Oryzias latipes: one gene and its partner. The protein of the gene in region 1 interacts with the protein of each later gene in a pairwise test. Links are inferred from orthologs where the notes say so. Each region holds a gene or a part of one and is shown on either strand. Other genes may lie near its edges. The genes, in order: prpf40a and ccnl1.

Evidence for each region.
Region 2: the proteins of prpf40a (region 1) and ccnl1 interact in binary tests that used the Homo sapiens proteins (3 or more experiments, as listed by UniProt). The link is inferred for Oryzias latipes from reciprocal best matches to the Homo sapiens genes PRPF40A and CCNL1.

The regions. Positions count from the first base shown.
Region 1 is NC_019879.2:20,298,930-20,303,254, forward strand, and holds the start of prpf40a (pre-mRNA-processing factor 40 homolog A), read right to left. Parts: upstream 2,890-4,325; 5' UTR 2,767-2,889; coding exon 2,764-2,766; intron 1-2,763.
Region 2 is NC_019871.2:24,441,898-24,445,720, forward strand, and holds part of ccnl1 (cyclin-L1), read right to left. Parts: intron 3,575-3,823; coding exon 3,454-3,574; intron 3,309-3,453; coding exon 3,244-3,308; intron 1,237-3,243; coding exon 1,137-1,236; intron 1,046-1,136; coding exon 941-1,045; intron 744-940; coding exon 490-743; intron 1-489. UniProt on the Homo sapiens protein: Involved in pre-mRNA splicing. Functions in association with cyclin-dependent kinases (CDKs). Inhibited by the CDK-specific inhibitor CDKN1A/p21. May play a role in the regulation of RNA polymerase II (pol II).

The DNA of each region.
Region 1 (4,325 bases):
AAACATGCATAAGTATTTTAAAGTCAATCAGTATAAAAAAATAGCAATCCCAATATTTTGATGATACATTTACTGATATATTAAAAAATATATTTTGTTTAAACTAGTCATGACAGAATTCCTACAAAAACAGCATTTTATAGGATTTTAAAAATTGAAAGTGATTATGGTGTTAAATAAACAAATCTCATTGCTAGGATTTTACATTTACTGTGCACTTCAATGTTCTAAATCCTAATTGAAACCAGTTTAGACTTTCATTTGAAGCTGGAGTTTTAAAAGCCAAGCTAAACTAATTAAAATTAGTAATTTAAATGTAATAGGTTCTCTGACTGGCTAGACAGGCAATATTTGACGTCATACAATGGATTTTTCAGGGGGACAACAAATGAAGTAACTAAACTGTACTCTGTGTTCCTCCAAGCATTTCAATTCTGAGATAGAAATTAAAAAGATGAGAAAAAATCTGTTGCAACAAGCCACTGTGAGTTTTTAAGACGATCTGCCAGAAATTTTTTTGCGCGGTTTTAAGTTTCACCCTAATATACCCATGAAAAATAAGGAGCAAAACCAACGACATCGTTCATGACAGAAGTTGGAGTTTTAGGTGGGGTGGTCCAGACGTTGTCAGAGGTAATAATAAAAAATCAGGTTTTATCTACAGAAGTCATTTATATTTTCAGCCGTTAGTTCTGCAGCTGTTTTTAACACTTTTTTCAAGTGTTTTTTTTTTTAATACAAGGCATCAAGTTAAACCAGAAAGTCTAAACTGAGCAGGTAAATGGTTAAACAAGGGGCTGTAAATAAAATCCAAAGATTCAGGAATGAAAAAAAAACACTGGAAAGTGAAACAGTTCTTAATGGATGGCTAAAGTAAAAACATGTCACTTAATAAATATGTGACTTTGGGGAGGGGGGGGGATTCGTGTTAAAACAAGAGTTTTAATTTAAATTACTTTAGAGATACTCACTTTGGTTTTATTCCTACTCTCAAATATATGCTCATTTTAATGTTTTCTAATGTGGAGGTGATGGGATCAGGGAGTTAAGAGCATTGTGTTTTTATTAGTTTGATGTTATTTTTATGAAAACAGCATTGGCTCTTTGATTTTTTGTGTGTGAAGACCTTTGCAATAATAAAGTATTAAAAAGTGCTCTATAAATAAAGTTTGATTTCATTTGCTTTATTGTGATTATATATTTAAACAATCTGTGTTTAAAATCACTTACAGTTGAAGACATTGGATCTATTTACCACTTGAATTGTATTTATATAGAATAATCCAATTAAGAAAAGATAGAAAAGAAAGTAAGAATTCTTCGGCTTGATGGTGTTATAACAAACAAAATATTGTTTTATTCAAACAACTACGTCTGTGTACCAGTTTTATCCATTCGTATCTACAACATACTTTAGTGGGATTTTGTTAAAAAGCAAAACATTTACAGCATGAGTGGGAAAATTTTGCTCTATTTTAGGCAAGTTTTTTTTAATCTACTTTTAGTATTTTCGTTACTTTACAAATAAGATGTTTTTTTTCTATTATAGTTAGTGGAGGGAAATGATTCACTTTAGCATACTTTTTGCAATAGAAATGATCCATTTACCATATCTTTCTACTCTAAGTGGACATAAAAGCTTCAACGAAAATAATTTTGATCAAAATAATATATGTTTAGATTTGTATAGAGCAGTTGCTTTAACTACCCTTCCCCACAATTTTTGAGACAGAGGCAGAATTCCAACTTTAAAGTTTTTTTTTTTTTAGCTTTCAAGTTGCTTTTCACAGACTGTTAATACTTTTCAACTATGTAACAATGCATTGAACTCAAATGCTAGTCATACTCCTGTTGAGCTGTGACACCTGAAGCTGATTTTTACTGACAAATATAACATTTTAACCATTTGTAAACATTTAAACTTTAGTTGAACAGTACTTCTAGTTCTAACTTTTTGGAACTTGGCCTGTATTGTTTTTCTTTATCTAACACGTTAAAATAGAACATCTACAACTTTAATCAATTCAAATTACATGCACAATTAAATGTATATCCGCAGGAAAAACAATCTAGTTATTCATTGTCAAGATGTTTTTCCCCCAAAATAGTCTTAAACTACCACAGACAATTTATTTTAAGGAAATCCATTTAAAACGTTTATAAATAATACATTTTTTTAAAGTGAGCAAGTTATAGTTATCGTTTAGGTTAACTGTAATTTCACAAATAAACATATAGGTACAAAAGTGTAAAAATACATAATTTTGGTCAATAAAAAAGTATCTCGTGTAGATAGATGGATTATCATGAAATATAAAAAGTCTGTCCCTATTCTTAATTACCCTTCCTTCAATTCTTAAGCATCAGTTAATGATTGTTATAACGAGGAGGACACGGGCTAGGTCTATGCTCTGGCTAAGAAGAGTAAGAGAGGCAGCGATTGTGACCTTTACACCAAACCACCTTTACATAAAATGCATAAATTATCTACTGCCACACTGACAGAACAAAATTCATTTTACAATTGGGAGTTTATTCTTTCCTTATTAGTGTTTCTTCTCATGGTGATAGTCGATGACATGACGCTAACTCGGCTAAATGCTAACAAAAAAGCTAACGTCGCGGTTTTGTTGAAACGTCTAGCCCCTCTATAGTAAAATAAGCTTTAAAATAACCTTCAAGAAGTAGTGAATTTAAAGCCACAAAATGCATTTAGCATATAACATGAAAACAAAAACTAGCACTTGAAGCAACGATACTTACCATGTTGTCTCAATGAGCCTTCGACAAATGTGAGCATCAGCACCTCCCAACAAAGAGCGATACGATTGGTCGACGTTGCTTCCGGCGCAAAGAGGTCAAAGTTTGTAGCTCAGTGGCGTTAGTTTGCGCTAAATGTGCGCAGACATGCGCATCAACGGGGATGAGGGGAGAAGAATTCCAGATTTATGAGTTTCAAAGGGAAAAAAACACAACACAAACGAACTATATAACAAATTAAAAGTAGGGCAAATAAAAGAGTGTGGCTCAATGTAACTTTTGAGTCAAATGTTTCACTTAAAACATCACACATATTATTATGAAATAACTCATATGTCCATATGATTGTAAATGGTATAAAATGTGTTCACTCTTTTCTTGACAATTACCAGACCTGCTCAACATCTAATGTAACCTCAACCAATTTAGAAATCTGAAAAGGATATTTTGCCAAAATAGGGCAGAAGAAATGCCACTAAAAGGCTGTTAATTATGCCAAGAATAGTCTTATAAGGGATTTCATTATCTTTATTCTTTACTAGGTACATTGAAAATGAGTCGGGTAAAGATGACTATACTTGAGTGTAATGCTGGTTGCCTTACACAAAAACGGAAAGAGCTGTTTTTTGATTAAACATCATGTAGAATTTGGAGTAGCTGAAATAAAAAATAACAATAACAAATGAATCAGTTAAAGATACATTTATCAAATATTTTCTTTTGCTTTGCTTTAAGCATGGGGTTAATTATTGATACTACATTTCACCTGTCGTTTTTCTGTTTCTTGACAATTAGGTTGATTAGATGTCTAAACCAGGGCTCAACTAATTCCCACTTTCCAAATAAACATTAAAAACACTATATTTATAAGAAAAATAGTATTGTATTGGATTCATCTGCGCTTTTCCAGACGCTCAAAACCCTTACAACATGTTTATTATTCATTCTCTCCTCATTCACACTTGGTGATGGTAACTACTGATGTAGCCACAGCTGCCCTGGGGCAGACTGACAGAGGCGTGGCTGCCAGTATGCGCCTATGGTCCCTTTGACCATCACCGGGGCATTCATACGAATTCACACACCAGTGGAACCACACTGGAGGCGGGGAGGGTGAAGTGTCTTGCCCAAGGACACAACGATAGTTGACCGGGGGGAGCAGGGATCAAAACGCCGACCCTTCGATCATTGGCCGACCTGCTCAACCGCCTGAGCCACTGAGTGCTTATGATCTAGTCCTAACCCAGTTCGCCAGTACCTCATCTTTGTCTGTGCTATTGATTCACAATATATGAGTTGGTCAATGTTTGCTGCAGGCCATTTTGAGGCAGTGAGTTTTGAGTCCAGCATCCTGCTGACCTGCCTTGCAGGCACTGCAGTCTCATCTGACAATTGGCTTCCTGTCAAGCATAGCCACATGAGCTACCAACAAAGCACATCACATTTAGAGTCTGTTATTCAAGTTGCCCCGTAAGAATGAAGAGACATAGGTTTAAACATTTAGTTTATTTAGGGGAAAAAAGCATCTCATAGTCTTGGTTTAAAGCTGAATATTTCACTAAGAA
Region 2 (3,823 bases), on another chromosome or scaffold:
TTTATGGCCGCCGACTTTACAAACGGCTGCTATTTAGGATTTTTCTCGCGGCTAATGTCTTTTTCTGAAAGAGGGGACATGCAGGCCAAAATTTGTGCTTGGATCATGAAATGTTTTATTCTTCTGAAACATCAACCCATCCAGCTCCCCCATAAATGGTGTCATGGATTAAGAATAAAGGCATTTATTAGACTTCATTTAGAATCACATCAGAATGCTTCATTTGTCAAATATCCACCAAGAGAAGTTTTGGTTTGTTTGTTGAGAATTTAGCTGATTATATGTGTAACTTTTGTTTGTAAAAATGATAAATGTTCACATTAGAAGTCGTCACCACAATGACCATTCCTCCTGCTTCTGGATAAACGTATATTAACCACCTATTTATAATTATCAGCTCGTGGAAAAGTCCAAAACTGAAATCAAAGCTGAGTGATCGTCTGGTGTTGCAGCACACGCATGACTCGATCAGTCATGTTAGTTTCTTACCCGTTGGGTGGACTTTTGTTGACTTGGGTTCTGCTGTCTTGCTCTTTTTTAACCGCTTTGATTGTGGGAGGATTTGGAGACTTCTCTTCCGATTTGGCCACATTCGGGGAGCACGGTTTGGACGCGGGGGAGAACCCCCCCAGTGTGGACAGGGCAGGAGTACCATCAGGATTCAGGCCTTTGGCCTTCAGCTTAGCTTCTGCCAGGAAAACTTTCCGCCGCTCCACCTCTTTATCCAGCTGCTCATAGTTGGGCTGGGAGAGGAAAAATACCGTTTAGTCAAAGAAAACTAAAGACTACGTTTGTGCTGCTTTCAAGACTTATGATCAAAAACTTCACCTGTTCCGCGTTTCTTAATATTGGATGAAAATTACATTGAGAACAAAGCCAAATTCCCTGCACATTTATGTGGGATTTATTACAGATAAGGCAGGAAATTGGCAACACTTACTTTTTTCCTCGCGTACAGTCTCAGCGTCGTCACACAGATTTCTTTGATTTCATCTTCACTGGCCCCAAAAAGCAGGTACCAGTAAGGTTTGGATGGCAGGGGGATCTGTGAAGGAAAACAAATGAATAAACACTCACCACACAGGGATGCACCCATAAAATGAAAACGCATTGAAGTGATTGGCTGGTGGTGGTACCTGCAAAACTCGGGCAGCTAGATAGATGCAGGCACAAGCGATGGTCTCCGGCTGGAATCTCACAAACACATTGGTCCTTAAACTGTCATTCATGTAGTTCCTGTAATGGAAAAAAACAGACCAACAAAAACATAGCATCTCTAACCAAAGCCACTTCTCCTTCATTCCTACAACCGCCCCTAACTACGCACTGCAGGATTAATGTCTTATGATCAGTAATTACTTCAGTAATGTGTTGGTAAAAAAATAAAAAATAAAAAAAACAAAGCTCAATTTTCTTGGGTTGGAGAAATAAAGAGTTTTCCTGATCCATCAATACAAACATCACACTTAAGCCTTTTAAAGTGAATCCTGTTTAACTTTGTCCTTTTCTCTCTCGGGCATCCACAGGAAGACAGCATGTCACAGAAAGAAATGCGGGAAATGTAATAGCAAAGAATAAAAAAAACAAAAGAAACTTTAGGACACAGAGATGGAATCAAATGATGATACATGCCTTGTAAGTTTGGGGAAAATGCAGGAAAAGAAAGCAGCTACCAGCAGTTCCAGATTTGGGGTTTGATAGGTACAAACATGAAGAGCATGTTTGTCAGCATGCATGAGCTAATGAATGGACCGGACATCAACACGATGTCACACTTAAAACTGGCCCCCACAGATCGAGTTAGGCAACAATCCCCAGTGTGTGGTGTGTTCAGTCACACAATCGTCTTCACTACCTAAGGTGAGTGATATAAACATAAAGATGGCGTGTCCAAGAATTCCCTAGTGGTGAAGTCTACAACATAAAATGCACGACTGTGAGTTAAACAGTGATGGGATCGTCTATGCTCTCCAGAAACATAGAAGTCATAAATACAAAAATGGGGGGGGATGATATCATTTATAAAATATCACAATCCTAACTTGTGAAGAGAAAAAAACGCTGCTGGTGTTTTGTAAACTCTGGAGACTTTGCCCACATCCTAAAAGTTGCTTCATTTCCTGATTGAAAGCAGCATGTTTGGCGTGTCATGTCATACCTATGTGTTTACATGGTTCCAGTCAGAATCTTTTTTTCTAAGTTCAAACGTTATTGAAATATGGCCTAGAGAACCGGTCATAGTCAAAACGACATGCTGAAGCCTCAAGAAACAACATGGCCATTGGATTCTGACTGCTGCGCGGCTGGAACAGATCCGTGGAGCCAAAATCTTTGGACTGGATCAGCCTGCAAGACAGACATGTCTACACACCATGTAAGTTGGGCATGAGAAATTTCAGTCTACTCTCAATGTTAAACTGGGCAGGTAAAATGGGCAAGTTAAAAAATATATATAAATATATATTTTAATCTGGCTAAGTTTACTTCATTTTTAAATGCAAGTAAACTAAAAACAAGACAGCATACGAATCTATCTGCAGCTATTTGGACAAAGGAATCACAACCGAGATCTTGGAGCAAGACCAAAAAATACAAATCCTTTTGGACACCCAAGAGAAAACAAGACGATGCTGGCTGTAGGGAAAGGCTCGCCCGCCCCCTTCAGTGAATCTCGGCATTGGGAATGGCTGTCAGGAGAAGGGCAGCCAACCAATGGGGGGAGCTTCCTGAGGTCATGTGGTTGGAGGAGGCAGAGTTCAGAGGTTCTTTATGTGACTTACCAGCATGGACTACCCTTTAATCAAAGAGTAGAGAGAAAGGACAAAGTTAAACCGAGTTCTCTGGGTAAATCAAACAGACTACACAGAAAGCTATGCAAGGGCAGACGAGAGTGAGACACGTTAAAAAAGGCTTTGCTGCATAAACGCTTCAGTCGTTTAGAAAAATGCTGCAGTCAGGACAGAGTGAATCTGTTTTAGAGCACGTTTCAAAATGCTAGCTTCCAGTATGAGCACCTGAGTAACGTCCGACTGCTATATTTAATGTGACGAGCGACACCGTAACAAGATCCTGAGGAGTCATCAAGTCCTCACCAGGAATTCAACTGTTTGAAACTTGTTCAACTCCGCATTAAGCCTAGGTCTGGCGGTACGTCTGGCAGACATGATAAAGGCTGTCGCTGTGGGGATGATTATGGAGGGTGCTTGGAAAAAAAAACTAGATTATAAAAAAGCCAGAACTTACCAGGCCGTCTGAACTAGAGGCTGGTTCTTCTCACATTCCAGGACTTGGAGGTACATGACGATTATCTAGAACACACAGCAAACATGTCAGTAGAAAGCCCTTTGCAGAGAAGTGTATTTATTAAGAACTGAATGATGACAAATGGTCCTGAGCAGCTGCCTTAGCATGGGTTAAAATGAGGCTATAAGTAAAAGTGTGGCTTTGGCTCACCTTATGTGGATGCTTGACATGAACACAGAAGCCCAGCTCCTTAAGGACCCGTCGCTCCGCTTTGATCACTTGGTTTTTGGTATTAATGTAGTTTTGATCAAGTATCAATGGACTTGGGGTCCTATTTTTAAAAGAATTCAAATAAAAAAGGGGTTTTGTCTTTTTGTAACAAAGAGAAGAAAGTGCTTTTTTGGATCCTTGCACTCTTGGTTCCCTTTCCAACCAACTCAAAGCAACTAGGTACACTGTTTGCATGCCTGACAGTGTGGTGGGATTGTGGACTCCTGTGGTTTCAAACAAAGCTTTAGGAATCTGTAGACTGCCCCCATCTCAATCGCCCTGATCCACAGCTTTAAAAGAAATGTAACCT